Drosophila melanogaster: one gene and its partners. The protein of the gene in region 1 interacts with the protein of each later gene in a pairwise test. Each region holds a gene or a part of one and is shown in the gene's direction. Other genes may lie near its edges.

Region 1 (7,022 bases):
GTTCTGTTCGGCAGCATCCAAGGAATTCAGTTGTTTTTCCTCAGCGTCTCCCATCTGAAAATATTGGAGCAGCTCGTTGTCGGGCTCCTCGGAGTTCTCCTCGTCCTCGCCTGGTAGAAAGTAGTCATCCAGCTCATGCTTGTCCATGTTACAGATGCTTATCACTCGCTCCCTGGGCAGTCCCAGATTCTCAGGCAATCCAGAGTCTTCGGCGGCTGCCAAAGCGGCATTTTCCGCTGCCATCAAACGCTTGGCTCTCAGAATCATCATTTGGTTTCGGGAGGCCACTTTAGGTGTGGTGTCCACAGTGCTCGACGGACTCACCGAACTGGTGCTCATCATCTGTGAGGGTGGGCCCATGGAAAGTCCAGGTCCCGGAACCGGGGATGTCTCAGAGTTTGGCGGTGGCGGTGTGGCCGAGGTTGTAGTGATCGTAGGTGGAACCAGTAAACCAACACCGCTCGTTGTCCCACTGCTTGGAGAATTCGCCCAGAATCCCTTTGTCTGCTGCGCCTTCAAAACCTTCTTGCAGAAAATATTAGAGGTGTAGTCCTCCACCTCATCTTTTATGACGATGCCCGTGGGGGATACCTCCTGCTGGGTGAGTACTACGGCCGGCGAGCCCATCTCCAGGATTTTGGGCGTGAGGTTGCGGACAGCGCTACTGCTTCGCTGATCTGTGGCTAGGTTCATGGGCGTTACCTGCTGTAGATAACCTATTGGAGGCTGCTGGGGATGAATGGGTGAGTCGATGATCTCCTGCTTGATCTTCAGTATCTGTTCGTCGCTGGCCTCCTGGCTGCTACCCGCGTCTTGGCCAGTTACCAATTGATTGCAGCTGGACTCCGAGGACGTGGATCCCTTGCGTTTCTTTTTGCGCCGCTTTTTCAAAGGTCCAATGTCCTGTTAAAGAATACTGCATTAGGACTCTCTAATTAGGGAATATTTTAATACTTACTGCTAAAACTCGCTTTTCCTTGGGCTCCCGAGGAGTGTATTTTTTTGTAGAAACTGTTGCATTGTTGCTCTTGATACGGGAGCTTAGATCCGCAACGCTCTCTAGCTTAGTGTTTAGCAATTTTTCTGCCCAACTGCGCACCACATCCCAGCACTCAGAGTCACCTCCTGTCGATGGTAAGCCACCCAAACTGGAGGCACTAGTTAGCTGACTCGGGTCCGAATTGGAATCACCCGCTACGATCTGCTCCGTCTTGCACAGCTGCGGCAGTTGCGGGGGCGTCAGCTTGGTGGTTTTCCGCATTGCCGCATAACAATAGCGAGAGTTTCCACGCGTCCCTAATCTCCGAGGACGAACGCCCGGAAATACCTGCTTCATCACCTTGCCGAAGTCTGCTGTGGACAGAGGTTTGATGCTGAGGCGTTCGCAATAAGCTCTATAAATGAATGGTGAAATAAACCAATTATTAATTTTAGGGCTATGCTAAAAAAAAAATGCTAGTAATAGTATGATTATTCAACTGATTTGCAGCATTTTTGTATATACAATACATATTTAGACTTCTCAAGCGAAAAATGAATGAAATACATTTTCACTGTTACCGTCTTAGTTTCAATAATGCTTTGAATAAGAATGAAAAGAACTCACATGTAATCATTGTACACATCCTGTTTTGGTATGGAGACCTGTGCATCGTGCTCCAGATGGGAACGCACCCAATTAATGGTATGGTTAATCTCCGAGCGCGTTCCTAGTGGATTTTGTGGCTGCCTCAACGGATCGGTGTCTGCGCATTCGCCAGGCAAACGAAGATAGAGGAATAGCTTCTCAATGGGCTTTAGTCCCGAGACACGCTCTAGAATCTGTGAAATCTGCAGCTTCGCATTGTCGCTGAACGGGAAGACGCACACAAATTAGCAAGGATAAACATAGGATTCTTCAAACAACACTTACTCCAAGCTGGTCTCAATCACCTGCAGCACCCTTCTCATCTTCTCCTCACTGGGAACTGATCCCGCTGAGTTGGAGTTGCTCAAAGCATTCATTACGTTTTCAGCAATGGTGGAGTTTATCACTCCACTGGCCGCTGGAACGCCCTCGTTCGGATGCCGTGGACCAGCTATTGTTGGGGTCGAAGGAGCAGCTGTCGCTGGAGTCGTGGTGACTGGTACTGGCGCCGATGGCACTCCCGCAGTAGCTCCGCCCATAGCGTGCATGATCTTGCCCAGACCCAGTTGCTGGGCTGTGCTAAAGCTGAAGGCATTGGCAAAGGCCAGGCCAGCAGCATTTGCACTCGCCGTGGCAAAGGGATTCGGAGTAAGTACGGAAGTGGAGACACCTCCACTGGCGCTGGTGGCATTGGAAAACGGAGGCGGCACAAAGCCGCTGGGCGTGGCTACAGGTACAGGTACATGGGTGTGACTCGTGGGCGAGATCTGGGCAGAGGCAGGTGCTCCGCCGACAGGGCCCACGGGCGTAATGGTCAAAGGAGAGCCCTTTGCATGGATAGCAGGTCCTTGAAATCTGGTTGCGCTGTAGACTATATCCGCGGGCTGTAGGCTGCAGTTCCCATAGGGATTGGCGTTGGGTTTCTGGAGGGGTAGTGCCACAGGGATCGGTTGAGGTATGGGAATGGAATTGGAGACTGGTGCTGTTGTTGCTGCTGGCGCCGCTGATTTCGTCCACTGCGCACCCAGCTGGCCGTGCTTCTCGGACATGTTAGGTGCTAGTGCTAGCGGCGCCTCCGTTTCCCTCCGCCTGCTGCTGCTCCCTCGTTGTTTTCTGCCTGCTGTGGTTTCTGGCCAAGATTAAGGGCGCTTCCGCTGCCAGGTTACGTAGGTGGCTGCCTGTGTGAGTGCTGGACTGCGTTCTATTGAGTGTGTGTGTGCCTTAGGAGATGGAGATTGCCGAGTCGATAACTGGCGCGACGAACATTTTGACGGCTGCGACGGACGAAGATACGGATGCCAGATATAGTTGCTTTCCCATTTTCCCGTCAGGCGGGAGTGCGCTGGGCGTGGGACGTGAAAGTGCGTGGCGTTCTTTACTGCCAACGAGCATGCGATTTTCCCAGATACGCACCGATTGAACCGAAATAATCCATTTTTTAACGAGAGATAAGAAAATATCTTGCGTTCTGCGTCTCGAAAAATATGTGGCGTTGCCAGACGGCTGCATTAAGAAATGTGCTTTTTTTGCCAGAGCTTTCGGATGTAAACACGGTGTTGTATTTGCGATTTCGCATAAATAAATGAGTAAATTACTAATAATTTGTATATAATTTGCAGATTCACCTTACGCAATGTTAGCTTGTATATGATAAACATGCAACGCTAGTCTTTTAGTGATCTTGCTGTCATCGTTATCGCCACTGGTCAAAAAAATGAGCCATAGAGAACTGGTTCCTAGCTAAATTAAATCTTTGGTGAGATGTATTGTCAGTATTGGACATAATATTTTCTATTGATAAGGCAAATTTAAGCGCATTAGGCCTTTTTTTAAATAATATTTAATGTAAGACGTTGGTATTTTTATGATTGAATTCTTTACTCTATCTAAATATACGTAAATATGAAAGAAATATATAAATATATATATAATTGTTTTCATAATATTTGAATATTTGAAGTATTAATATTTTCTTTCTCATTTTACAAGTTGTTTGTGTTTATAGGCACACTGGGGAATACTTTCAGTTATCATATCATATCGTTTAGCCATGGTTAAAGGAACAAATATTTCCAATGTATTGTCACAAGCAGCAAACATGTTTATCAGATATTTAACCAAAAATCCGCTTCCCGGAACCAGCAAAATGAACCACATCGTGTTCGCCGATGCTATGCAGCCCTGGTAAGGAAAATGGCGATGTCTTTTCGTTTCTTTTTTCAGTCGCTTTACACAACACTTTAGCAACACAAATTTTAACACTACAATACTACGCGAGCGGTTCTTTAAATTAAATTTCGAGCAGGATTCCAGAATGCGCGTCGAGCTTACCCCACAGACGTGCCGGGTCTGCCTGGCGCAGAGTGAGCGACTGCAGCGCCTAGACGAGATCCGCGAGGAAGGCGAGGAATCGCCGAACGAGATGTTGATTCAACTTTTGGGAGTCTCATACAGCAATGTAAGTGAATCGCTAGAGCTGGCAATGCGAACTGACCATTCATCCATCCATCCCTCATGCAGCTGAACGACAGAGAACACATACCCGATGGCATCTGCAAGTCCTGCAAGGTCGAACTCAACATGGCCTACCAGTTTCGCGAGAAGGCGCTGCGCAAGCAGATGGAGATTGAGGAGTACTGCCGGGAACTGGGCTTGCTGGACGAATCAGATGTGATGATGATCAAGGAGGAGGACGGCTCGCAGCAGCAATGCGACGAGGAGATGTACATCCTGGAGGAGACCACCACCGGGGAAGAGGAGCACCAGGAAGAAAAGGGGCACGAGGAGTACTTGGAAGTGGACACCAGCGATCAGCAGGAGTGCATTGGCGACACCATCGAGTACTTGGAGGACAACTACACCATCGAGATGAACTCCGATCAGACCGAGATCGTCCTGGAGTCTGAGAAGCAGTACGAAGAGACACCATCGCAGCAGTTGGCGCTGCAGGAGGCGGCCAAGGCAAGCCTGAAGGCGCGGCGCGGCCGGGTTCGTCGCGGATTAAACTCCCTAACAACATCGGACGGCACTGAGAAGGGTGGCTATATCTGCGACGTCTGCGGAAACTTTTACGAAAAGCGCGGCCGGATGATGGAGCATCGCAGACGCCATGACGGCATCTGCCAATATGCATGCGAGTAAGTCGAGTCGGTAAATTTCATATTAAAGCGATAACCCTAATCCCGCCTTCACAGACTATGCGATGCCAAGTTCCAGGTGCGCGAGCAACTGAGGAAGCACATGTACTCCCACACGGGCAGCAAACCCTATAAGTGCAGCTTCTGCAGTCGTCAATTCTTCTACGAAAGTGTTCTCAAGTCTCATGAAAAGTGAGTAGAAATGTTATTCTCACGGAGAGGCCTCAAAATGGGCCATTTAAATATATTCCTAGTTCGGGACAGAGATAACTAACTTTTCTTTTTCCGATCAGTGTTCACCGTGGCATCAAGCCCTACGTGTGCAAGGTGTGCGACAAAGCGTTTGCCTACGCTCACTCCCTGACCAAGCACGAGCTCATCCACTCGGACATCAAACTGTACCGCTGCGATTATTGCAACAAGGACTTCCGTCTGCTGCATCACATGCGCCAGCACGAGGAGACCAAACTGCACCAGAACGCCGTAATGCTGGCCGAGAGCATGAAGGTGGAAATGGTGGCCGAGCAGGGGGGCGGGAACGAGATCCGAATTCAAGCTCACTGACGCAATCAAATTCAGTAGAGTATACTGTCTTATTTCCAGATATAATCCCTTATAATCAGTAATACTAGCTTAAACGCTAACGGATAGCGTATTCATAGTTGTAAGAATGAACTTCATACGTAAATAAAGGTTATTTTTGTTAAAAATAGAATATCAAACGTATGTGATGTTTTAGCAGCATGTGGAATTTGGTTCATAAAATTAATTTATTTGATAATTTGAATACATACAATACAATACAATACAATTTGAAATGTAACACGCCCGAGAAAATCTGGCAATCTAGTTGTACGCTAGTTGGTAAAAGTCACAACTGGCCGTAGTTATTTCCACAATCAATGTTCGCAATGTGTGTGCGCGGGAAGCTATGCTGAAAATTATGCAATAAATATGGGTGGCTTCATGACGCCGTGGGTATATAAAATGAAATTGGAAAAAACCCAATTTGCACCTAGCGCATGCAAAGCACCAACAAATGTACAATATCAAAGGAAGTTCCGAAATTACATGACTTGAATGCGTTTTTTTTTTTCATTGGCCGCTTGTCTCCTTTTTTGAACTCCCCCGTGTATCATATCATCATTTTAGCGGAAACAAAAAATGTTCTTATGGACTGGTAAAGCCTTTCGGCCCCTGGGGCTTTGTATTTGATTACGGGTGGTGATACACTGCAAGCAAAGCTGGGTACAATAATTCAAAATAGGTAACCAAGGCGCTAGTCATATTATTTATTCCAAAATTTGGTTTAGAAAAGGAGTTTAAAACTTATTTTCTGTGATATTTATAATCATGACAAATTTCTAAAATTCAAAATGGTATCCAATATTTTTCCTTTTGAAGCTGCTATGATATTTTTCCTAGTGGCGAGATTGCGGAATGTGGAAGCTTGGGAAAACCAATTCTAACAAATTTGCACGCGATTTGACATGTCGAATCCATAAAAGCGCTTCAAACGATTGGATTATGGGTGTGAACGTCGAGCCACAGCCGCAGCCATCCAAACTCAATTGCCAAATTGAGATTCGGCCCTTTTAAACTGATTACGAGCCAGTCCAGGCTATCAATTGCAAATTTATTTCCCCCGCACCAGCCAAAAAAAAAAAAAACCCTTTTCAGGAGCTCACCTCCGTCCTTGACCTGGCCCTGACTTTGCATTTGTGGAAATCGAGTGGGAAAGTCGGGACTTGACTCATCACGCAAGTCCCGCCACCTTTTTTGTGGCAAACAAATCAGCAAGTTTACGAGCTGAATTGCAAATTCCGCGTTGGAAAATCCCAACGACTTCTTGCTTACGAAGCAGGTGAAAAGTCGAAGAACTTTGTGCGTTAAGCTAAGGCTTAAGTAAAAGCAAAAGTATTAACAAATAATTTAAGAAACTGCCTGACCGGTTGACAAACTATTGTAAGCATTTCAAAAGCATACTTTGCCAAAGAGTTATGCCTGATTCCAAAAAAATCACAGAGATAAGATAACAATTCATAAGAAGTACAAAATGACAGTATGTTTTTAAATTGTATAATTTGGTTTTCCAGTTTTTGTGTCAATGCCAAGTGGCTAAGGAGGAAGTTGGGATTTCGTCTCGGAGCGACTCGTCCCTTTTCCACAGTCACTTTCGCCCGCTCCCATCGAAAATTCTGCATAATTCATGTATTTTATTTAAAGAAGATGCAAAACCAAGAACACCCAATTCCAGC
Region 2 (9,057 bases), on another chromosome or scaffold:
AGATCGTTGAACTGATGACGATCGCTGTGATTGTTAATCTGCGTTTCCATCTGCATCACCTGGTTCAAGCGCTCCAAAATCACCAGCGTGGTGCGCTGGACCACCAAGTAGCAATCCAAGGGAGAGTTCTTGATCATATCCATAAGTGCCTGATAAGCAGCACATCGCAAATTGGCTTGAGCTCCGTCCGATCGATCAGTGGTCTCCAGCAACTGGGTAATGATGTACTCAAAGTACGGGGACAGGGCGTACGTCTCCGGAGTCTCTCCGTCGTTGGTGACCGCTGCCTCCCAAGCTGCATCGGAAAGTCCAATGAAGGCCCAACACACGTTGGCTGCTACACGCGGCTCTGACTTTAGGCTCTTCACGAAGCACTCCAAAAGCGTTTGAAGATATGTCTCGTTGATAGCCGCCTCGGGAATTATCTGTCAGGAAAAAGCAGTAGAAGGTTAGTATGACAATATGAATCACCTTAAAAATCACCACTACGCACATCGCAAATACGTCCGAAGGTCCAGGCGATGGTATCGCGCACGATAACGCTGGAGTCGTACATCAGTCGAATGAGCGTGGGCATGGCTTGCTCCACGAGCGGCTTTAAGGTATTGGTCTCCAATCCATTCAGCACGGAGCCGAAAGTCATTACCGCTGCGTCGCGGAATCGCCAATTAGGTGACTCGATGTTCTCCTTGATGAAGGGAAGCACATGTGGCACGATCTCGTCCTCGCAACATGTGGCCAGCACCATGAGGCAAACGGAGGCGGCCTTCGCCGGGCTCCAGGTGTCCTCGTCATCGCACTCGTCCTGCTTGGTTAATTTCTCGACGAGCACAGGCGTCAGGAACTGCAGAGCACCTCGAGCATAGTGCTTGGACACTCTCTGCGGAGCGCGGCCCTGATCAGTGGCCTCCTGGCTTTCGATGGCCAGATCTATCTCCTCATCGCAGACGTTCGACCAGAACTCTATGCCCTGCAGCGCTACAGCATCGTTATCAGACTTCATGGCCGCCAAAGTAATAGGGAAAAGAGCCTGTGCCATGTAGGGCTCCATGTACTGGTAATAAAGGGTCATAATCTTCACCAGGCACTGCAGAGCGGCAACGCAGATTTGCGAGTCCTGGCACTGAGTGGCCTCGCACACCACCTCCATGATGAAGTTGCGCTCCATGTCTTTCTCAAAGTTCGATTTGGTGAACTCCAACGAGTTGTGAAGGGCCGTGGTGGCCGCCAAGCGTACATGATTGCTCGGCTCTACCTTTCTCATGCCGTGAATAATAGCAGTCAGCACATCGTTCGACTGGTTCTCCATGACGCCGAAACGAATGTCCTGGCAAATGTAGCCAATGGCCTCCAGCGCCGACTCGCGATGCATCTCGCTGGATCCTTCGCTGACCACCTTGTTCACCAGTGTCTGGATGAGCATGGGCCAGCGGTTTATCGGCAGCTCAATCACGGCCACATAGGCCACGCACTGGGCGGCGCAGGAGGGTCGGGTGTTCTCGGTACCCAAAGCAGCCAGGATCTGAAAGTAAGTCGCAGTTATTCAGTGCCAATTGTACAAGTCATATGTTTCAACATCAGCGTATGTAACTTACGTTATTCTTGATCAACTCGCGGATCTCGCTGGGAAACTGATGCCAGCGATCCTGGTACTGTTGGCTGACCTTCTCGTCCTTGCTGGTCAGGTGGTTCTTCAGCTGGAGACCGGCTGCCATTCGCGCCACCGCACTGTTGGCCGTGTTCACCAGTATCTCTGACAGCGCCTTGAGAAACTCGGGCAGGTTGCTGGCCGCCGCCTGCTCCAGAAAGTTCTTCGCCGATAGCAGCTCATTTTTGTCTGAAAATGCGTCATTTGGTTGGTTAGACATTTTTAATTTCCAATTATGTCAACGAAAGATTTTATTTGTGGGCCTACACACGCCCACCATTTTGGGTCGGCTTAAAGCTTTGGTATCAGGCCATTGAATTTTACAACAATTGACTTTTGGGAATGTGAAGGCAAGATAGGAACTTTTAGGCAAGGCGTATATAGTGAGAATATTGTTTAATAAGAATACAATAGATGGTGAAAGAAGTGTGTGCATATGAAGAGCTAAGCAGTAAGGTCTAGTAATGAATTGTAGCGGTGGAGCATAAAATCTTCAGGCAAGGGGCAAGTTTGCAGGCATTCCTTATCAGCAACCGGAAGAACTGGCCGCCAAGCATACGGTGGTGACTCCGAAGCGACGCCTCATCGATTCCTAGAGTTAGTGAGGTTATGTCGCAGGCGGTTCGTACATCCTTAATTGTAGGAGCGCAAGCATTGCGAATACATACAGACGCGCCGCCAAGTTTCCCTTGGAGTATGTACGTGGATGCACATGTGTGCGGAGGCCCCTAGCAACCAAACATATGCGAGCGCCTATTGCAACCCTGCGCAACATATAACGCGCGTCCCTCCCGCCAATCGAAGAAAAATCCATATTTTTCGGATCTATACACACACGTTTGTAGCAGTGGGGAAACTCACCTGGCGACACCGTCTTTTCCAAAATGGCAATCAATTGCATGGCGATATCGGAAGTCATGTCTTCGCTCTTTTCCTCTCTATATGATTTCTACTTCACTTTCCGTTTCTTTCTGCAGCTCGTGCGTCTGTGTGGGTGATGGAATTTTTGCGTAATTACTAGACAACACTAGTCTGTCGGCTGCAAATGGTGGAGACAAAAGAGTTAAAGTTATTGGGCTGCTCCGCTGAAGCTGGCGATTTTATTTCGACAGGTTGCAACACCTTGATTGTCAAAAGAATTGATTTTTTCGCACACACGCACACAACAAGCGCGTTCAGTAGAACTCTTCATTCTACTCACATTGTTGTTTGGTTATTTTTCGGGAACGGTAAAAAAGCGCGGGATTCCTAACGGCGATTTTCTTAGTTATTATTATAAGCCTATTTAATGGTGGCAGAACCTTTATCTGCTCTTCGGGAAGTGCAGGCAATATATTTCTTGTGTCTCCGATTTGAAATAGAGCTGAAACGAATGTCGATTTTTATTTGATAGCACTGAGTTTCGATGAAAAAGGCGACACCTATTCGATTGCTTTATTCGAACTATCGATAATTTTTAAATCTAATAACGTATTAATTAAATATTCTTAAATGCGTAGGAAATGTGCAACCATTTGACAAAATATATTATTAGTCAGGAACGATAAGACCAAAATACTTACTACTTGTATTAAAACGCGTTTGCCTCCCCAAAAATCAATCGTTAAATTTGAATGATTGTGCTTATCGAAAATTTTCATATTCAAAGATAAGCACGGAAGCAAAACCTCGAACGAACTAAATAATCGAATACTTTGACTTAAGAGTCGTAGGTAAAAAACTAACAAATGAACAAAATTTGATTACTATATTAAGAAACAGTGGATAAAAATAGTAATATCTTAGAAGTATCACACGTATACGTGTGTATATTGGTTGCATTCGCTTACTGAACAGGGGAATTAATTAATTTAAATATAAAAGTTTATTAAGTCTACCAAATTTCGTTTTGCACGTAATAATAATAAGAGCTAAAGGTTTTCGCGGTAATATTTAGCTTTGCAAATGCTGGTAGTTTTTTTGTCAGCCAGTTGGCAGCCCTCTCAGCTGTACTAGGTGGCAACGCTGCTACAGTGCTGACGTTCGGCAAAAAAGAGGAAACGTAGTAAAAACACTCGAAAAACTCCGTATATTCCGATAAATATCCAGATAGTACGGTTTGTGCGTGGCCCGCCGATCCGGAAAGTGTGGCAGAGAATCGCGGACACGGCCACGTTGTGATTACAACCCGTACAAGTAAAGGAAGAAGGTCTGCTACTCCTGCCGTTCGTTGGTTACCCCAATTCGAGATGATCCTGCTATCCGGACTTCTGCCGCTCCTGGGCGTCGTTCTCTTGCACCTTGCGACCCCGACACAGGCCTTCTATCTGCCCGGACTGGCACCGGTCAATTTCTGCAAGAAAACCGACGTCTCATCCACATGCAAGGTAGGTGTATACGTATGTGCAGAAGTGCAGATGTACATATGTACGTAGATAGTGGGTGTGTTTGCCCCACGCCCGCCACAATTAGCAAAGGCACTGGAACTAGTTATGTACATTGGTTCTATATTCCTCTAATGGTGGTCACAGGCGGAAGCACTGATAAGCGCAGTAACTAGTTATATGTGGGGTCCATATGTGGCCCTCTATCTCAACTTCTGCTGACGTTGCCTACGCCAGCTCTCTTTCCTAGCGACAGCTAGATGGGAGTTCTAATGTTGGTTCAGCTGGCTCGCGAATGCGATTTCGGGGGCTCCCGACCTTAAGAATCTTAACATAGTGGCGGCTAACCAATAATTGAACCAGGGAACGCGGTTAGCTTGTCATGCTTCCTTGCATTATGTTTGGGTTATTTTCTTTTTAGTAATAATAGTATAACACAATAACAATATAAATTCAGGACAAAGTATAATTTTTAGTTTGATATCCCAAATAGATGGGGTTAGCCCTTTTAAAAGATGACCTAACTATTGGATGATAAAGCGTGAGCTATTGGTTTTGTTTGCTTCATCTTATCTTTAAACAAATCTAAACAACTTTTTAATATACCCGTAGGTCAAGAAATCCTAATCGGTTTATACGCCCTTAAATTAGACGTTGCCCAATGATAAGAATTAATTAAGGTGTTTCACATTCAATTGTTTCTAACAATCTAAGAGAGCTTTTTGATAAGATAAATTTCTAAGAACCCAAAGTAAAAGCAAATTACGGGGTCAAATTATCGAACGCATTTGCAAACTTTTGGAATTTTTACCAAACTTTAATAATTATTTCCACGATAAGATTAAAATACACTAGTATTATCAACAGTTGTCAATCCAATTGATTGATCTAATTCCTGATTATCTTCTTCAGTCGGAAATCTTGTTGTACGTCAACCGCTTAAACACTGAGGAATCCGTAATACCCTATGAGTACCATCACTTCGACTTTTGTTTGGGCGAGGAGCAGAACTCACCGGTGGAGAATCTGGGACAGGTTGTGTTCGGAGAGCGAATTCGTCCAGGACCCTATAAAATTCAGTTCTTGGAAAACCAGCAATGTGCGACCGTAAGATTAAACAGTTTTAACGCATTACCAACATAATGATTTAATGACTCTTCGTATTTAGACCTGTGTCAAGACTTACAAAGGAGACGATCCGGCTAGCAACCGTCGTATGATGGTTCTTAAGAAAGGAATCAGCTTGAACTACCAACATCATTGGATTGTGGACAACATGCCGGTTACATGGTGCTACCCACTGGAGAACGGCAAGCAATACTGCGGAATTGGTTTTCCCATGGGTTGTCTAGTTCGCAGTGATGGCGAGGGTTGTCCCATCAACTCTATATATAACCAGCCAATGCATTATTATCCATTCAACCATGTGGATCTCGAGATTACTTATCACAGTGGACAGTCGGAGGACTGGGGAATTCAGTTCGGCAACAGTGGACGCATAATCTCTGTAAAAGTGACTCCCAAATCTATTAAGCACACCGATAAGGAAAACCCCAATTGCTTGAGCACAGAGCCACTGGCAATCAGTGAGAACTCTTTAAAGGCTGGAGAACAGCTGGAAATTGTCTACACGTACAGCGTGAAGTTTGTAAAGAACGATTCTATCAAATGGTCATCACGTTGGGACTACATTTTGGAATCCATGCCGCACACGAATATCCAGTGGTTCTCCATTCTCAACTCCCTGGTTATTGTCCTTTTCCTGAGTGGCATGGTGGCAATGATAATGCTGCGTACGTTGCACAAAGATATAGCCCGCTATAATCAGATGGATAGCGGTGAGGATGCCCAGGAGGAGTTTGGCTGGAAACTGGTACATGGTGATGTGTTCAGGCCGCCGCGGAAGGGCATGCTGTTGTCGGTATTCCTGGGTTCGGGTGTACAGGTGCTTGTGATGGCCATGATCACCTTAGCATTTGCCTGCCTGGGATTCTTGTCCCCAGCCAATCGGGGAGCCCTGATGACCTGTTCCATGGTCTTGTTTGTTTCGTTGGGTACACCGGCTGGTTACGTGTCTGCGCGTATCTACAAGAGTTTCGGTGGGCTGAAATGGAAGAGTAATGTCATCCTTACCTCGATCGTTTGCCCTGGGTAAGTTCTTTGAAATTAAAGCGATATTATTATTTAATCGTTTTTCTTTTTTAGTGTGGTCTTCTCATTGTTCTTCGTCATGAACCTGGTGCTGTGGGGGGAAAATAGCTCCGGAGCTGTGCCATTTAGCACGCTAATTGCTCTGCTTGCCTTGTGGTTTGGCGTCTCTGTGCCACTAACCTTTGTAGGAGCTTACTTTGGATTCCGCAAGCGCGTGAGTATATATTTAGCTAGTTTTTAAAATGGTTCCTTACATTTGTCTGTACGATTTCAGGCATTGGAGCACCCTGTGCGTACCAACCAGATTCCCCGTCAGATTCCGGACCAATCGATCTACACACAGCCTATTCCTGGAATCGTTATGGGCGGCGTTCTACCCTTTGGCTGCATCTTCATTCAGCTGTTCTTTATCCTGAGCTCGCTGTGGTCCAGCCAGATTTACTACATGTTCGGTTTTCTGTTCCTGGTCTTTGTCATATTGGTCATCACATGCTCGGAGACCACCATTCTGCTGTGCTACTTTCACTTGTGTGCGGAGGACTATCACTGGTGGTGGCGCTCCTTCCTGACGTCCGGCTTCACAGCAGTCTATCTGTTCATATACTGCTGCCACTACTTCGTCACAAAGCTTTCGATCAAGGACAGTGCCTCGACGTTCCTGTATTTCGGCTACACGGCCATTATGGTATTCCTGTTCTTCTTGCTGACCGGCACCATCGGGTTCTTCGCGTGCTTTTGGTTCATACGTAAGATCTACAGTGTTGTCAAGGTGGATTAAACCGCATAATTCAAGAAGGAGCTCGTGCGAATGTATTTTTGTATGTGTAGCCACAAATTTACACTTAAGCCTAATGTGTGTGTGATTTCTGCGCTGTGCGCCCGGCACAGACAGTTTTCTGTTTACTATAATTACGATTGATATGTGTATAATAACATATGTTTGTATCAGGCAAGGAACAGTGGAGTAACGAAGCGCGCAATAATTTTTAAGCAGTAAACAGCGAACGAGTTGGAGTTAAAACGACTTGAAGCATCTTTTGTATAGCTCTTCGTTCTGTTAATCTTTAGGCGTAAAATTTAGCATTGTCCATTTCCCAGCTCTAGCAACGATTCCAAGAAAAGAAGAAATTATCAAGAAAAAAAAAACTAAAATCCCTTTAAATGTACTGAGCTGCATAACGAAGTACTTTAAACCCCGTTCTCTACTTGTAATATCAAAGCCTAACAACTGTAATTAGTGGCTCGTCTTAGCCGTAATTCGAGCAGGATTGAATTCACGTGTAATATTTTAAATACTTTAGTTTAAACTATTTAAATCTAACTTGCGACTAAAGAATAAACAAAAATATAAATTACGAATCGAGCCCACTGCGACAAACTTTTTACTATCAACAGAACCAGCTCATTCTTTCAACCCTAGACAACTGACAGTTGTCAGTGGTTGCTTCTATGGCTTCCGTGAGCTGAGCCAATCGGGCAGTGTGAGTAAACATTTCCAGCTCAGAGCTTGTCTAGAGGCGCATCCATGTCAGATATTGAGGACAACGATGGGGACGAATACGATGAACTTTCGGAGCTGCGACAACGCCACAAGCCCGAATCCCAGCCCTCGGTGGATGTGCATATCTGTGAGACACGGTCCTTGATCTTCTCTAGATTTGCTGTTTTCTTTCCAGGAGGCCTTCGATCTGGACGACCTTCTGCCCACCATTGGCGAATTCGGCAAATACCAGAAGCTCTTGGTTTTCGGAATTTGCCTGCCCGCCTGCATACCGTGCGGTTTTTGTGCGTTTAACCAGTTGTTTATGGCTGATACTCCGGATGACTATTGGTGTCGCATCCCGGAGCTACTCGACTTGCCCCTGGAGCAGCGAAAATCGCTGTCCATACCCAAGGAACTGGTGAGTAATTGCAGCCATACGAGTGCCGAGGCTAAGGCAATCAAGTCAGCCCATTGATTGTGCGTTGCTTAAGGTGAAGGGTCGATACGAGGGTGGTTCGATGAGTAATCGAAGGGGCTAACAATGAAATGGGGGAGAGGTAAACCTTATATTCTATGCCTTCTATTATTTAAATATATTTTGAAATAACTGATGAAATAATTATTTCAAGGATAACGACGAACTGGTCTACAGCAAATGTTATACCTACGGAGTCAACTGGACGCAGCTCCTTGAATCGGGGGAAGAGGATGACCTGACGACCATGGAGCCGAATGCCAGTTGGCCACTGATCAAGTGCCCCCAGGGATGGGAGTACAACACAAGCGTCGTCTGGTCCTCCATTGTGATTGATGTGCGCAATCCAGACCACCAAGCCTTCATTTGAAACTACAACGTCATTCATGTAGGAGTTGCTCGAATCATTTCCCAAGCATCAGTACTACCTTTACCTAGGAGCGAAGGATTGGCTTACTATAAACCATTAAATCCTCCTATTTCAGTTCGATCTAGTGTGCGATCAGGATATTTATCCTACGATTGGATTGGCTGCTCTTAATACTGGCGGTCCAGTGGGAGTCTATCTTTTCGGATTACTCAATGATCGTGGTGGACGAAGGCTCTCCTATTTCGTCTGTTTGGCCACTTTGCTGGCTGGCAGCCTAATGACTTCGCTGAGCAAGGATTTTTGGACTTGGGCCGGCAGTCGAGTCATCGTAGGACTGACCATTCCAGCTGTCTACCAGATACCATTTATAATATGTGGGTATTTCATTGTTGCTTCTAACTTTAACCATTAACTTTTCTGCGTCTGCAGCTCTGGAACTGGTGGGTGAAAACTATCGATCCTTCGTGACTGTGATGACGTGCACCTTTTACACTTCGGGCATCATGCTCCTGTCCGGCGTCACTTATCTGGAGCGGGATTGGGTGCGCCTCTCCTACATCACATCCC
Region 3 (6,441 bases), on another chromosome or scaffold:
GAGATTCTGGGCTCGAATCTTGCTCCCAGGCGGTGCGTGTGTGCGTGAGTGTCTGTGCGGCGTATCTGTGTGCAACATCGATGATATTTTAATTGGCCAGCAGCTGAATCGGTGGCCGTAACACTTACGCTAACGTCGAGCTCCCGTGTTTCGATTTTTGTTTGCAAATAAATTCAATTCCGCCCCCAACCGCAGCACAGTGTGACCGTTCGCGGGGAGTTCCAACGGTAAACTGGTATTTTGGCATCTGATAGTATTTCATTAATTTATTTGGTATTTTCTACACAGCGAGAAAGCTATAGACCGTTATTAGTGGCTTCTCTTTAAGCCAAAAAATGAAACTGGCCATAACAAGATGCTTCTCTTATTCAGGAGCGAGCTGGTACCTCGCGAAGCTTCTCGGTGCGGTCCTCGTGGGTAATGATGACCTCCACGGCGCACATGTTGGGCGTCAGGAAGTTCTCCAGGATCTCGGAGCCTCGACGCGGCTTGCGATCGAAGGGGAAGCCCATGGACTTGCGATCCGGATAGAGGCGATCGCGCAGGCCGCAGTAGGAAGCGGCGATGCTGCAGCCGCAATCTGCGACCGTCTGGTCAACCTGCACAAGGAAAGAGGATTGGGATCAGGAGGCATTCGCAGTATACTCTAAAGACACCTTACCTTATCCTCTTCGTAGTTGGAAACCATGACGAAGAGCTCGAAGCGCAGACCCTCGGGCCGACCCTTCGGAATCAGCATGTGCTGGGGCCAACCGCAGCCGCACAAGAAGTTCTGCAGCTCCTCCAGCTTGTCCAGGTTGCGGAAGGTGCGCTCGAACGGAATGGTGACACTCGACTCCGTGGAGTTCCGGGTGATCGTATGGCTGCCGGGAGGCATGGTAACCACGAACTTGTCCAGCTCCACCATCATCAGGCGCTGTTGCTCCAGCAGCATGGGTGCATTGCGATCATCCAGCTTGGGCGCCAGGAAGATGCGCACGTAGCCATACCGCGTGGCCTCGCTGGAGTTCTCCACCTTGATGGTGTAGCTGAATTCGTGGTGCTGCAGATGGGTGAACCGAGCGAGGACATGGCCGCGCGGCACAAAATCAAGGCCACGGGACATGTCCACATCGGACTCCTGCCAGAAGGTGGTCAGCCTGTTGACCTGACCCTGGCTCTCCACCTGGATGCTCTCGACGCGAACGTCCGGAAAGCTGAGCTCTTGCTTCTCATAGGGAGAAAGCAGACGTTTGTGCTCCTGGAACATATTGTCGATGAAGGCGTGCCACTTGTAGAAGATCGGATCGCGCATCGCGGTGGAGGCGTCGCCCATCACGCCCGCGTACTCCAGGTGCTTGTTGGTCGGATCGTGTGAGTAGGCAATCAGTATGTGCCCCATGTTGTGGAAGTCGCCGTACTGCAGATGGAAATAATATACATGGAAAGGTGATCTACAGATTATCACTTAGATTCCTTACCAGCGTACTGTTGGGCGTCAGATCGGAAGCCTCGATGATGTTGCCCAGGATGTCGATGCCCTTAGCGTCATCCAGCACGATCTTTTCATTGTTCGTCTAAAAAATAACCAATTAGTTGTTGGATGCATGTACTCCTGGAATCGGAGAGCTCCCCACTCACATCCAAAACGTAGCCCTGATGGATGGCCTCGTAGATGCGTTCGCGCCAGCGCTTCATATCATCGATGCCAACCCTCAACTGGTTGTTAGGCCGGTCCACATCGCTCAGCCGGGTGTTATCGAAGCGCGGAGGATACGCCCTACTGGCCACCAGCGAGTCCATCTTGGGGAAGTAGCCCTCGGCAATTGGTTCGTCCAGGTTGTTGAACGGCTGCACCCGGGCCATGTGGTTGCTCAGCCGCTCGGCATTGTAGCGGGCAATGATCTGCTGGTGCATATAGTAGAACAGCTCGCCACGACGGTCCTTGTCCACGATGCTGCGGTCGGGCGCCTCTATGGGATAGACCAGATGCCAGTGCCAGTGGTGCAGGTTGACGCCCAGGTCCTCGCGGAAGTACCACAGCCGGTGCTCCACATCGAGATCGGAGGCGGTGTACTTGACCGAACTGACGACGGGCAGGCGGGCGGCGGAGCGCTCCACCACAAAGGACTCCTCGCGCATGCTGCGAAGCATCTTCGAGTCGATAAAGCGATCCGGGAAGGTCTGCGCAAAGGCGGGCAGTTCGAGGTCCTTGGTGTCCGGACGGTGGAGCAGGGCCACCGACAAGGCGTAGTTGAAGAGCACCGGATTGACGCGATCCCTGGCGTACACCGCCACGCTCTGCAGCTCATCCACGGTCTGCATTTTGGTGAAGATCTCGATCAGGTGGCTGGCCATCTTGCGGTGGGACTTCAGGAAGATCGAGAACTGCTCCGAGCGGCCCAGTCTCATGGAGCAACTGAGATCCGGTATGGCGATCTCCTTGACTTGAACGTTCTTCTCGGACGCGCTGCTCACGCGCCGCTGGACCTTCTTGCACATCTGATTGTAGCGATCGGTCACGTAGGAGTCGGGCACGTCGAAGACGGTGCCATTGCCACCCTTGTCCATGAACACGGGCTCCGTGGGATGATCGAACAGAAGGAGCAGATTCTTCTTGTCGGCCATTTTCGATGGATTCGCGATTAGGAGGACCTTTAGCGAGCAGTTGCTGATTCTCAACTGCACGTCCCCACCCAACTATCAGCTCCTTTTATACCCAGCAGCCGAAATGCCCTATGGTTACATGGCGAACATCTCAAGTTCGTCAACCCCAAAAAACAATCTAAAATATTACTAACTTAAGAATTTTTAACTATTGCCATAGTATAAGCATTGAATCACAGAGTTCCGAAAAAAACATTTTTAACCGATAAGATGCTGCTGATTCATCATAGTCTGTTGAAAACTTAACGAACAATGTATTTGTAAGTTTCAGAATTTTAATTCACAGATAAGTTACAAATATTTGAATCGTATAATATCCTATAAGGATATTAACATTTCCAGTACGTGTTGTCTACATCGAAAATACTGAATATCATTTTTTGATTATTTAGTCTTCATAAGACAGTTGTAAGTATTTATTTAATTTTTTTTGTGCATTAAATTAAATTCATTAAATTTTCAATTGTTTCCAGTGTACGTCATAATTAAGCTTATCTCGCAAACAGTATTTTGCCGCTAAGCACCTGCGGTCACACTTATTCGTGGAGCACCAGGAGAACGTAAACAAATGGAGCACGAGGTGGCTGTTTCAGGAGGGGATTCCTCGCTGGAGGAGATCACTGGCAGTTCGAAACTCAAGCCCTCCAAGAACACGGCCATCAAGTGCCTGAAATGCGACAAGGTGTACATATTTCCGTCAGATAAAGATGACTGCCTGGCGCATTTGTATATGGAGCACCGACTGGTCATCGCCGATGTGGAGGATATAGCGCTTCTGGAGGACTACCTCCAGTACTGGGAAAAGGAGTTTCACAGTGAGAGAATCAGCAACCCTACCCTGAAAATTTAATAATTGTTACCCATTTTAGCCCACGAATTCGAGCAATATTGCACCACAATGTTCCTGGATCAGCTGCCCGATGGCAAGTACGCCAAGAACGAAAAGTACTACCTGCTGTGTGACATCCTGCCCCAGGACTACGAGCTGCGGCGAAGGTTGAAGGAGAAGCGCCTAAGTGAAGCCCTGGAGCGACATCAGTTCGAGCTAACCGACCGCACCTTCTCCAAGGAGTGCCTTTTCTGCAGGGCCATCATCAAGGGATTGAGGGCGGACTATCTGGACCATCTGTTTGACAAGCACTTTCTGTTGGTCGGCAAGCCCGAGAAGCTGGTGTATGTGGACGAACTGCTGGATCACCTGGAGGAGAACTTGAATCGGTTAATGTGCCTCTACTGCGAGAAGATCTTCAGGGATCGGCCCACGCTCAAGGAACACATGCGCAAGAAGGGCCACAAGCGGATCAATCCGAACCGAAGGGAGTACGACAAGTACTTCCTTATCAACTACAATCGTGTACCAACGGCCCCCACGCCCCGGAAACAGCACCTCCAAAAGCGAAGACGGGAAACGGCATCCGTGTCCACAGTTGCTGATCCTGAAACCGGCAGCGTGGACTTCGACAAGCACTTCGCTCGCCCTGATTCGGATGGCGAACACGATTCGGACTGGTCGGATTGGGCGGCAGATGGTGAGCCTAGCTCCATTAAGTGCCTGTTTTGCCACCATCTCGGCGACAACTTCACCGCCCTCAAGAAGCACATGCACGAGGTTCATCGCTTGGATTTCGAGAAGGCCACCAGCTCTCTGAACTTCTACCAACGCGTCAAGGTGGTCAACTACCTGCGCCGCCAAATGTGCCTGCTGCGCTGCGTGACCTGCGATCTGCAGTTCGACGAGGAGGAGCTGCTCGTGGAGCACATGGCACAAGAGTCGCACCACGGAATCGGCGATAAGGAGAGCTGGGACAAGCCCGAGTTCTTCTTCCCGTACATCGAGAACGATGGTCTGCTGTGTGTGCTGGATGATTCCGGAGGCGATGACCCGGACGTCGATACGGTGCGCATCATCTCCGAGGATAGTCTGGCGCAGATCAACAAGGATGCGGAGCGGTTGTCCCTCGAGAATTTTAAGCTGTTGTAACTGAGATTTTTGTATTGTACAGTTTACGTTTAAAAGAAACTAAGTAAATAGCAATGGAATTTAAGTGTGTACTATATTTATAGATACGTATGCACCAAAAACTTTATGCAGAGGAGCTAAATATTTTATTTAAATACCATATTTTTTAGTCCGCATAAGGGTTAATTCGTTCTGCTTAGCGAGTACAAGAACCTTGCCACCAAGCTAACGTTGCCACCTTTTCGTTGGACATCGATTGTTTTGCAGACTGACATCATTCCCATCAAAACGAACAAAATAAAGAGAAATTCAGCGAAAAATGGAGGCACTGGACATTCTGGAGAAGCGCATCGATGCCCTGACACGAGTCCTGGGTCCGGTCCAGGACTCTGAGGTGGGCGAGGGCGTGGTCGACGCCCTGTGCTCGGCACACGCCATCCTGGGCGAAGCAACCACAGGAAGTGCTGCACTGCAGCAGTGCGTGAAGAGATCTGACGAGCTGGAGAAGTACCTGGACCCCAACTTCCTGGAGGAGCACCAGCAGGTGCGCTCCAAGGAGGTGTACCTGCAAGCCGTGGCCCCCGAGCTGCACACGCAGGCCGAGCAGCTGGAGAGGATTAAGCAGCTGGAACCGGCCCTGGGCGCGGAGTACTTCCGCAGCATTCCCGCCGAGTGTCTGGAGCAGCTAAAGGGCATAACGCAGAACAACGGGGAGTACGCGCAGCAGAGCGAACTTATCGAGGAGAGTCTGGTCCTGGCCATGAAGCGATATGGCGAGATCCAGGCGGGACTGCTGAGCTCCCTGGATGCCATGAGCGAGCGCTTGGACCAGGTAGAGGAGCGCATGGAGCAGAGGAAGCGTGCAGAGTTGAGCAAGGATGTGCCGCCCAAGGATTGAGCGGATATAGATCCAAAGACTGCTGAAAGTATTTTATACGACCCCGTTTCCAAATCCGTTCACCTGAAAATCTGGTTCCACTTAAGCTGAAGGCATCAGTTGCTCAAGCAATGGATGTAACCTAGGTTCTATTGAAAAGTGTAATCGTAGCTAAAGCCATCCCGATTTGATTGGAACTGTTTAAGGAAGCCGGGATATTAGATTTTCTAACTACTCCAACGTAAAGTGGCTAATGATGCTCTTTCAATTGTAAGTTTCATTTTTAAAAACTATTTAACTAAGCACAATAAACTAAATTACAAATCTAATGAAAACCAATCAAAATCCTGTCTTACAGAAGGAAAATGCTATAATCACATAATAGAGCACAATATGGATTTATCATTGGCTGAATTTTATTTTTATTATCTATACAATGTATACAATACGATGTGACACTTATGTATGTAGGAATTGTAGAAGGAAATAGTTACAAAATAATAATTTACCCGCGGAAACGCTCTTTCAACAGTAAATTTCCAATGCTAAAGTTTATATTGTCCGGACAATAAGAAACTTAGCCAGAATTAAAAGTAGTTGGCGCACCACAAGCCGAATCCAAAGGATATCCTCTTCACCAACATACAAGGCACAGTCTTGACTTTTCTTCTTCCCAAGAACAAAGTCCGGCGCTCCTAGAATCGCAGCTCGTTTCTAACTATCCTCTCGTATACGGATGGGGTGAGTGGAGCATACACGCCATCCGGTTGGGCGTAGAAGAGTTCATCGTCGATGATCTCCGGATTGAAGCCCTGCTGCTGAAGCTCCACCTTGCGCAACTTGAAGGTGCCCGTCAGGTCGATTTTGCGCAGGAATCTGAGAAACTGCGGCCTGGCGTAGTTGGGCAGGGATTTGGCCAGTTCCACGCCCAGCTGGCTGACGTTGACCTCCCGAGTGG
Region 4 (8,644 bases), on another chromosome or scaffold:
ATCTGGAGGCGGACGCCAATTGCAATGTGGGAACGCAGCGAAAGGCTGGTAGTACCAGCTTTAGCCAGAACGTGGGTCTTATGTCCAAGGGCATGATGAGTGATCTGAAGGCGCTGCGCTCCCCCCAACTGGGACTGGATATCAGATCCCTGTCGCAGGCGCAGCTGGACAACCTGCTGATGGCCACGTTGGAGATCAAGAACAAGCTGGACTTTCTCTACCTGATACGTCAGTGCATCCGCTGCAACCTGTTGCCCTCCAACGAGGTCTTCGTGTCCTGTCTAAAGTATTTGAGCGCGCAGCGCAAGCTCCAGCAGTTGGAGGCACTGGCGGAGACCTGTCGGCAGCTGGAGCACCCGTTCTCACAGACCTACGCGGATCTGGCGCCCTTCCGCGCCATCGCCCTGTGGAACAATGGTAACGCCGACGTGGCCCTGATGACGCTACATCGCGGTTACGGGGTAAGCATGACTTCGGAGGAGGGCAGGCGGATGGCGCGCTCCGCATTCCGCACCATTTCCGAGGAGACTCTGGCCCAGAAGAGTGAGGCGGTGCTAGTGTCGCTGCTGGAGGTAGCGCGTGCCATTCACCGCGAGCACAAGGACATCTTTGTGGTGGCCTGTGTGTGGAAGCAATGCTTCGCTAGCGATTGGTTTTGCGATCAAAAATCGGCTTCGGAACTGTTTGAGCACTACAAGGAGCTGCAAGAGCTAGTGGAGAGGAGGTAAGTCGCTTTAATTTCTTTAAAAACCCGAAATTTGAATCCCAATGTAACCTTCCTTGCAGAGCCAGTTCTTTGTGCTCTTCATTTCTGGCCCGTAACAATGTTGATGCGGTGCATCGGCTAATCGAGGCGTTCTTGCAGCACCAGCAGCGTTTGGCCTGCTCCAGCTGCCTCAGCTTGCTCTTTAACTATCAATGTGAGTCTGTGCAACACAACCGAATATTATGTAACTCCCGTTTCGTTTTTAGATATGCGCAAGGATCTGCGAGCCTGCGCTGAGATTGTCAAATCCTGCAGTGAATTAGAGATGCCGCTAAATGAGCTGCAGAACGAACAGTTCCTCAGTCTGTTCCTCGACCAGAGCGATCCTGTGGACTCTTCGGGAATGGCCAGCAAGTACAAGGCACCCAAGTCCTTCCAGTACAAGTTCTAGTCCCCAGTTTCCATCGTTAAGCCGTTGTCATCGTAGTTACAGCACAAGTGTTTGCACCATTGAGCAATATTGCAAGCATCCCCATATTGCAAGCCCCCACAAGGAATGTAGTGTCTCTTCAATAAATGTTATTTAATATCCATCTTCAGGTGGCTCCTTCATCCACCATGTTGCCCTCGGGCAGTTGGCCAGGCAAAATGCCGACGCATTCGTAGCAGCGGGATATCAAGTGGTTGCCGCATCGATGTTGCAAGCACTGTTGGCACCGCGTCCGCGATTTAGTGCCACGCTTATTTCGAGCGCAGGGCTTGCACCTGCGATGCTTCTCTCCGTACCGACTAGCCAAATTAATGCCCAAGGGCAGGCTCATCTTGTCGGGTGTTAGCACGCCTACGCTGTGCGTTAGTTTCGCCTCGCCGGTCGCCTCACTGAGCAGCCGCTGACTGGATTGGCCCAGGATTTCGCAGATTTGCAGTCGCATCACGAGCGAAGTGCTGGTGGATCTTCGCTGAAGGCGTCGCTGTAATCTCTGCTGTGTGAGGAAGAGTCCCAACTGTCTCTGGAAGTCGCGCTGATCCATAGCGGCATCGCCTTTGGGCGAAAGTCGTAACAGGATCCATGCATTCACGGCAGCCGCGTTGAGCACAAAGTGAAGTAGTTGCAGAAAAGGATTGATCTGCTTTTTCAAGGGTGCGGGCGTAGCGTGGGCTGTGCTGAAGCGCTGGGAGTGTTCGTAAAACTGCTGACAGGCTTCTGAGGTTTGCTCATATGCCTGGACTGCATCTACTTGGGAGCTAAGACCGCAGCAGAAGACTGCGTCGCCATCGAGCGGAATGAGTTTTGAGCTGCCACCAAACAAGGGTGATTCTGTGGGCCACTGCCGCGGCCAATGTGGCGAATTGGCCTCCAGCTTACCCAACGAGCTTATTTGCCGCTGCGCCAACTGCTCGCACTGCGTCAAGTTTAGATACCGTGATCCCAGCGTTACATTTCTTCCCGTGGTCTTGAAATCGCAGATCAGTTGTTCTACATCCTTGTCCGGACATCTCTGGTTTCTGCTTACCACTGCATTGGCCATGTACAGTGTCCTGGCATCACAGCAGAGGGTCATCCGTGACTTGGCCACCGCGCAGAATGTCTCATCCACGGTCAACCAACTGCTGCAGCCGTAGTAGGATCTGCAATTGATTATAAGGCGCTGCCAGAGCTTTTGGCCCTCGGACCAGCCGCAATTTCCCGCCAGACACTCGGAAATGCTTTCGAATCGAGCGAGCGACATGGATGCTCGGAATATGGCATTGCCCAGCTCCAGGGTCCACAGCTCATCCAATGGCCCATTGTGCCTGGCATTTCGGAACACTCCACAAAGGTAGCTTAGACCCAAGAATGCCCGCAGCTCCACAACGTCTAGGGGTCTCTGGACACTTGTGGCCGTTCTCCGCTTACGCATCTGTTCATTGATATGGCGAAGTAAAGACCGCAGCATTTCATCATCGAAGAGCAGCATCCATGCTTCCACTGCATTGGACACTGTTCGGGCGGGTCCCTTGCCACAGGCCTGTTGCCCCAAAAGGGGTAGATCCTCTGCAGAAATATCTGGGCTCCTGGTCACGCTCCATAGCTGCCCACAAGGAGATGTGTAGTTTCCGTTATTATTTGGTGGACGACCACGTCCTCGCTTCGGGGCAGCTGGCCTGGCGGAATCCTCCTTCTTCAGCACCACGTCAGCCAGTTGGTCCTCGTTCATCAGCATGTCGCTGTCCTCGAAAATCCAGGGAAAATTGCATACTGCTTCCTGTAGCGGATCGGAGTCATCTCCGTTAAAGGAGGCACTTTGGACTGTGGAATCGACCGGCGGCAGCCGCTCCTCCACCTCCATCTTTTCACCATCCTCGTCTTCTTCCTCCTGGTCGCTACATTTAATATTGGCCAGCAGCTCCTCGTCCAGCACGCATTCCATTGTTTGTTTATAAACTTGCAACAAAACAAACCTTTTCAGTCGTCGATAGGTTAGGACAGTAACGTCTATACATATCGATAATTTATATAGTTATCGAAAAAGACATTTAAAACATAAATCTTAAGCTTGAAAGGTTGAAAACTTATAAAAAAAATAGTTTGTTCTATTTAGAAAAAATTATGTACATTCTAAATATAACTTATTTATTTTAAATGTAGATTTAATTTCCAGCGTAGAGATAACTAGTGTATGTTTATAATTCTTAAACAAATTATACTTAACAAAACTTGTATTTATTCTTGGCGCCACTGTTCAAATTTCAAATGAACCTGCCAACTGAACTAACTCCCCAGTGGACCCCCATCCATGATTTATCGCACATAAGCGGCTATCGGATTTCTTTCGCCACTAATTTGTTGTTTGGCACGCAGCAAGGAAAAGGAATAAAACGCTTTAAAACCAGTGCCAAAATAGCTTTCCCCAACGTTCGTTACTATATTTACGTTGTCTGCAAAAAGAGTTTGTCTAATTGGCCTCGATACTACGGTTGTGACGACTGCCCCGTCACTACAGTTTGCTGAGTGCAGTAACCGGGGCCTGGCTGAAACACTGGGAAAACCAGTGTTTAGTGTAAATAAATGATAGTGGCACCCATTCGGACATCGCAGGTGAATCCCCGGGAGCTCAAGACGCCCGTTATTTGGGCGCGCAGTGAATTTGTCAAAATATTTTGGTTAAAGTGTCAATTTGACATGTTATATGTCATGGTCTCTCGTGTGCCAGTGCGATAGTTATCGATAGATAGCCCCAACTTAATTTGTTTTAAATATTTTTAAATTTCTTCTTTACTTAATTCACTACTGTAATACGTTCGTTTAATGTATAGTTCCTTGGAAATTAATCGATTTAGCAAGTAGACCGATTGGAAAGAAATCAAAAATCGATTTGAAATGCGTATTTGAACCTTAGTTGGCCATGACTTTGGTGTCTGAATGACGCCTGCCCTCAGAAAAAGTTAGTTGAATCTCAAAGTCTGTGGTGACAACACCTAAAGAAACTAAAAAGTGACAGGTTTCTCTGTTTGTAAAAAAAAAAAAATTGTAATTAAAGTTCTGTTCTTTTCCTTTCAATATTTGCATACCGTTTCTGGTTGTGTTTTAATGAATTTTCTGTTTTCTGAAGCTTAAGTCTGAGCTGCAATGATCTCGCCGGAACAAGAAGAGGTCAACATGGTCCTGGATCGCCATGTACGGCAGAATATCCAGGACATGATGCACGAGGCTCATGTCCAGGCGAGCCTGCTGGAGAACGAAGGTGAGTTTGCTATATTTCGGTCGAGTTCGGTCTTGTTCATGCCCGTTTTTTTTGCATGTCATCTGCAGGACGCGGCCGTTTCCACTCGGACTCAAGTTTGGACCAGGATTCTCTTCACGCTGACGTCATCGTGGAGGAGGATCAGAGCACCGAACACGGCGCCAACCAGGTGCAAAACTACCACGACATGATGGTGGACAGTGAACACCACATCGACATAAATGGGTCGCTGCGCAAACGTCGTGGAAATCTTCCCAAGACCTCTGTAAAGATTTTAAAGCGTTGGCTTTATGAGCACCGCTATAACGCCTATCCGAGCGATGCGGAGAAGTTCACCCTGTCCCAGGAGGCCAATCTGACGGTGCTCCAAGTGTGCAACTGGTTCATCAATGCCCGTCGCCGCATTCTACCGGAGATGATCAGGCGCGAGGGCAACGATCCTCTGCACTTCACCATATCGCGACGTGGCAAAAAGGTTAGCCCCAACTGTTCGAGATCAAGTGCGTTGGGCGCAAACTTGACTGGGCCGAATCCCGCACACGGAAGTCCTGCTTCCGAAGTGGTGTGTTATCTTCTGGTCAATCATTATACCACTGAAGTTACTAAATTGCTTGACTCCAGGTCGTTGGCGCTACAGAGGAGGTGGATGGCGCCGGTGAGATTCACGAGGGCATCGCCAATGTGCTGACCAACTTTGAACAGTATGTGCAGGGCCCCAACGGACAAATGGTCAAGATGGAGCCGGAGTACGAGGACAGTGTCATCTACAGGTAACTGGTAACCGGTCTTTATGACCTGCTTCCCTAGCGTTAGTCACTTCTATCTCCTATCCCATCCCACCTATGTCCAAACTCCTTTTCCTCTTCCAAGCTGGCAGCAGGCCATTGCAAACAACCCGATGGGCTTTCAAAGTCTTCACTCCTCGCTTCAAGCAACCATGATCGATAAAATTAAAAACTATCAGATGCGCAAGGCTGCCGCCATTGGGGGTTCGGCGGTTGGCTCTGGTGGTGCTGGTGGGTCGAGCTCCAACTCCAGTCCTGCCACATCAATACTGCCATACAGCCTTTTTGGCCAGCTGCCGCCAGAGTTCGATGACGAAGAAAAGCCAAGACCTCCGAAGCGCGTAAGAACGCGGACGGTTGCTGCAAAGAGTCCTAGGGAGAATGCCAAGCAAGCAAAGCAGAAGACTGGGAATAAGCAAGAAACCATGTACTGCTATAAGGATTCATACGGCGGAATCGTGGTGTCTCCTAGGTACAGCTTCTGCTCCCATTGACTGATCCAGAGCCTTAAATCTTACTCAAGTGCGAGTGGCGGTGCTAAGATTTTACTTTTACCCCCAGGTCCGAAGGCGAAGAGAGTGCACAGGGATACGAGTCCTGTGGGCCGAACAGCGAGGAGGAAGTACGCTTCGAGACCTCCCATGATTGGCAGAGCGTTATAAAGTAAGTAGCTATGTGGATGTATTAAGAAAATATTGTAATCTCGGCCTCTGCAATTCCAGAACTGTATTTGGTACTGAGGAAGTCAGCACTTCGGCTGGCAATAATCCAGGTACCTCTGGTTCTAAGGGATCTGTTCAGAATACCGCCATCTGGAATCGCAATCAGACTGCGAAGCGTGACGGTGAGTGAAGTTTGCAGACTTAGAGCTCGGTTTCTTTGGTAATATCCAACTCTTTTACTCCTAAAGTGAATCAACAGTTGACTGACTTTGAAAGCGAGCTGAATAGAATACAGGCCTCAGAAATCCAGACAATCGATCCTACCAACTCCAATCAACAGGACATTGGTGACAATCTACAGGCGGACGAGGTGTTTACCGGTGCCGAAGCAGAAGCTGGCCAGAGTCAATTATCTGCTATGTCGCAGGGTAACCTATACCTATTTTTATCAACTTTATATTGAATTTTTAATTATTTTATAATCTTGCTTTAGGCACAAGTCCAGATGAGCGTGCCAAGTACAAGTGTCTCTATTATCTAGTGGAAACTGCCATGGCTGTGCGCCAAAACGATGACGTCCAGGATGACGATTTCGTTTACATGGGAGACTAGAGCCTCAAACCAAATACCCACGCTACAGATCCCGACTTCCCAAAGTGCCGAAGCGTGTATATACAAATATGTATATATAGATATATATATATACTTAAGTAATTTAATCGAACAGCACTAGACCCAAAAATTTGTCTATAACCCCCATGTTATTGTGTTAATTGAGTAGGTTACTAACATAACGTACAAAGCTATAGATCAATTCGCAATGCGACCGCCCAAATACCTTTTTCCACAAAGTCAATTCACAAACAAATCGACTTAGTTTTGGACCTGACTCTTTTAAACTTAACATGTACACTACTGATACTTAAATAAAACATAAACAAGCATTTGAAATACACATTGCCATAAAATGATGGTGTGTTTTATCTAATTGGCTGATAGAGCCATTTTTTTAAGGTATCTAGTAATTATGTACACATACATACATAAAATGAGAACGTTTGTGGAAGGACAAAATTAATTTTGTTATAAATATTATAAATGTATTGGAATACTTTGGTTACCACAGATAATAAAGAGTGGCGCAAAAACAAAATGATTCGATTTTTAACTATAAAGCTATAGAACAAAAAAAAAGAATGATATATTCGAGTTCCCCGGCTATCAGATACCCGGTACATATATGTGAAAATGTGAACAAGAAATTTCATAATTTTTCTGGGGTATTGATAGATAATTCGGAAAAAAGAAATATCCAAAAATTTTCAAAAATGAGGGCGTGAGTTTTGCGCTGTTTTAGGGCGTTACAGTGGGCGTGGCAAAAAGTTTTCATTTTTCAAAAGTGTGGGAGTGGCATTTTGTACGGTTTGAAAGCGTTGGAGTGGACGTGGCAAAATAGGTCCACAAACTTGTGATAGTTCCTGACTTCATACGAACGGACAGTCAGACGGACGGACGGACAGGTCGACTCGGGTATTGATCCTGATCAAGAATATATGTGTTTTATATGGTCGGAGAAGCTTCCCTCTGCTATTACATACTTTATAACGAATCTAGTATACCTTTTTACTCTACGAGTAACGGGTATAACAAGTGACGATCGCACCTCCAACATACAAATCTTCTGAAATCAAAATGATATTACATTTGACCAAATAAATGCGCTTGTCTAAATTTTACAAATCAAAATTTTTATAAATTTTGGATAAGGTAAAAAGTACATTTCGAGACGCCCGTTACTTGGGCGCGCAGTGAATTTGTCTAAATATTCATGGTCTCTCGTGTGCAAGCGCAATGTTTGTGCGATAGTTATCGATAGTTGGCCCTAACTTAATTAATTTTAAATATTTATAAAATTCTCCTGTACTTAATTACTTACTTTAATACGTTCGATACAAGCAGACCGATTGAAAAGAACCATTTTTAAAAATCAATTGAAAAAATTTGTTTTTGAACCCTAGTTGGCCATGACTTTGGTGTCTGAATGACTTGCCTGCCCTCGGGAAAAGTTAGTTGAATCTCAAAGTCTGTGGTGACAACACCTAAAGAAACTAAAAAGTGTCAATTTTCTCTGTTTGCAAAAATTGTAATTAAAGTTACTGTGCTTTTCCTTTCAATATTTGCACACCGATTCTGGTTGTGTTTTAATGAATTTTCTGTTTTCTGAAGCTTAAGTCTGAGCTGCAATGATCTCGCCGGAACAAGAGGAGGTCAACATGGTCCTGGATCGCCATGTACGGCAGAACATAAAGGACCTGATGCACGAGGCTCATGTCCATGCGAGCCTGCTGAACAACGAGGGTGAGTTTCCTATATCCCGGTTGAGATCAGTCTTGTTTATGGCCGTTTTTTTCTCCAGGACGTGACCGTTTCCACTCGGACTCCAGTTTGGACCAGGATTCCCTTCACGCCGTCGTTGGGAATGATCTGAGCACCGAACAAGGCGCCAACCAGGTGCAAAACTACCACGACATGATGGTGGACAGTGAACACCACGTCGACATTAATGGGTCGCTGCGCAAACGTCGCGGAAATCTGCCCAAGTCATCTGTAAAGATTTTAAAGCGTTGGCTTTATGAGCACCGCTATAACGCCTATCCGAGCGATGCGGAGAAGTTCACCCTGTCCCAGGAGGCCAATCTGACGGTGCTCCAAGTGTGCAACTGGTTCATCAATGCCCGTCGCCGCATTCTACCCGAGATGATCAGG

Evidence for each region.
Region 2: the proteins of Zif (region 1) and TM9SF2 interact in a two-hybrid assay, tested with the Drosophila melanogaster proteins (one large-scale study listed by BioGRID).
Region 3: the proteins of Zif (region 1) and CG9890 interact in a two-hybrid assay, tested with the Drosophila melanogaster proteins (one large-scale study listed by BioGRID).
Region 4: the proteins of Zif (region 1) and achi interact in a two-hybrid assay, tested with the Drosophila melanogaster proteins (one large-scale study listed by BioGRID).

Annotation. Positions count from the first base shown.
Region 1 is NT_033777.3:6,453,346-6,460,367, forward strand, and holds Zif (Zinc-finger protein), read left to right. Parts: upstream 1-3,742; 5' UTR 3,743-3,811; exon of another isoform or gene 3,812-3,871; 5' UTR 3,872-3,941; coding exon 3,942-4,085; intron 4,086-4,147; coding exon 4,148-4,764; intron 4,765-4,821; coding exon 4,822-4,956; intron 4,957-5,057; coding exon 5,058-5,328; 3' UTR 5,329-5,477; downstream 5,478-7,022. Other genes in the region: CG9727 (uncharacterized protein), read right to left, coding at 1-903, 959-1,394, 1,607-1,849, 1,913-2,676.
Region 2 is NT_033779.5:20,728,883-20,737,939, reverse strand, and holds TM9SF2 (transmembrane 9 superfamily protein member 2), read left to right. Parts: upstream 1-3,630; 5' UTR 3,631-3,876; coding exon 3,877-4,014; intron 4,015-4,923; coding exon 4,924-5,118; intron 5,119-5,179; coding exon 5,180-6,162; intron 6,163-6,216; coding exon 6,217-6,376; intron 6,377-6,436; coding exon 6,437-6,940; 3' UTR 6,941-7,524; downstream 7,525-9,057. Other genes in the region: Fs(2)Ket (female sterile (2) ketel), read right to left, coding at 1-425, 494-1,522, 1,596-1,837, 2,510-2,567; CarT (carcinine transporter), read left to right, coding at 7,688-7,780, 7,839-8,063, 8,275-8,457, 8,606-8,864, 8,920-9,057.
Region 3 is NT_033778.4:23,060,995-23,067,435, reverse strand, and holds CG9890 (uncharacterized protein), read left to right. Parts: upstream 1-3,175; 5' UTR 3,176-3,214; coding exon 3,215-3,461; intron 3,462-3,515; coding exon 3,516-4,627; 3' UTR 4,628-4,689; downstream 4,690-6,441. Other genes in the region: PPO3 (prophenoloxidase 3), read right to left, coding at 369-599, 662-1,399, 1,461-1,556, 1,621-2,607; DCTN3-p24 (dynactin 3, p24 subunit), read left to right, coding at 4,926-5,504; Fatp2 (fatty acid transport protein 2), read right to left, coding at 6,179-6,441. UniProt on the Drosophila melanogaster protein: DNA binding protein which is involved in the positive regulation of both basal and inducible transcription.
Region 4 is NT_033778.4:12,509,917-12,518,560, reverse strand, and holds achi (achintya), read left to right. Parts: upstream 1-3,498; 5' UTR 3,499-3,785; intron 3,786-4,162; exon of another isoform or gene 4,163-4,217; intron 4,218-4,299; 5' UTR 4,300-4,316; coding exon 4,317-4,431; intron 4,432-4,499; coding exon 4,500-4,993; intron 4,994-5,052; coding exon 5,053-5,201; intron 5,202-5,301; coding exon 5,302-5,688; intron 5,689-5,777; coding exon 5,778-5,879; intron 5,880-5,938; coding exon 5,939-6,060; intron 6,061-6,126; coding exon 6,127-6,306; intron 6,307-6,371; coding exon 6,372-6,490; 3' UTR 6,491-7,027; downstream 7,028-8,644. Other genes in the region: CG8818 (uncharacterized protein), read left to right, coding at 1-724, 787-920, 973-1,157; CG13151 (uncharacterized protein), read right to left, coding at 1,303-3,117; vis (vismay), read left to right, coding at 8,122-8,236, 8,295-8,644.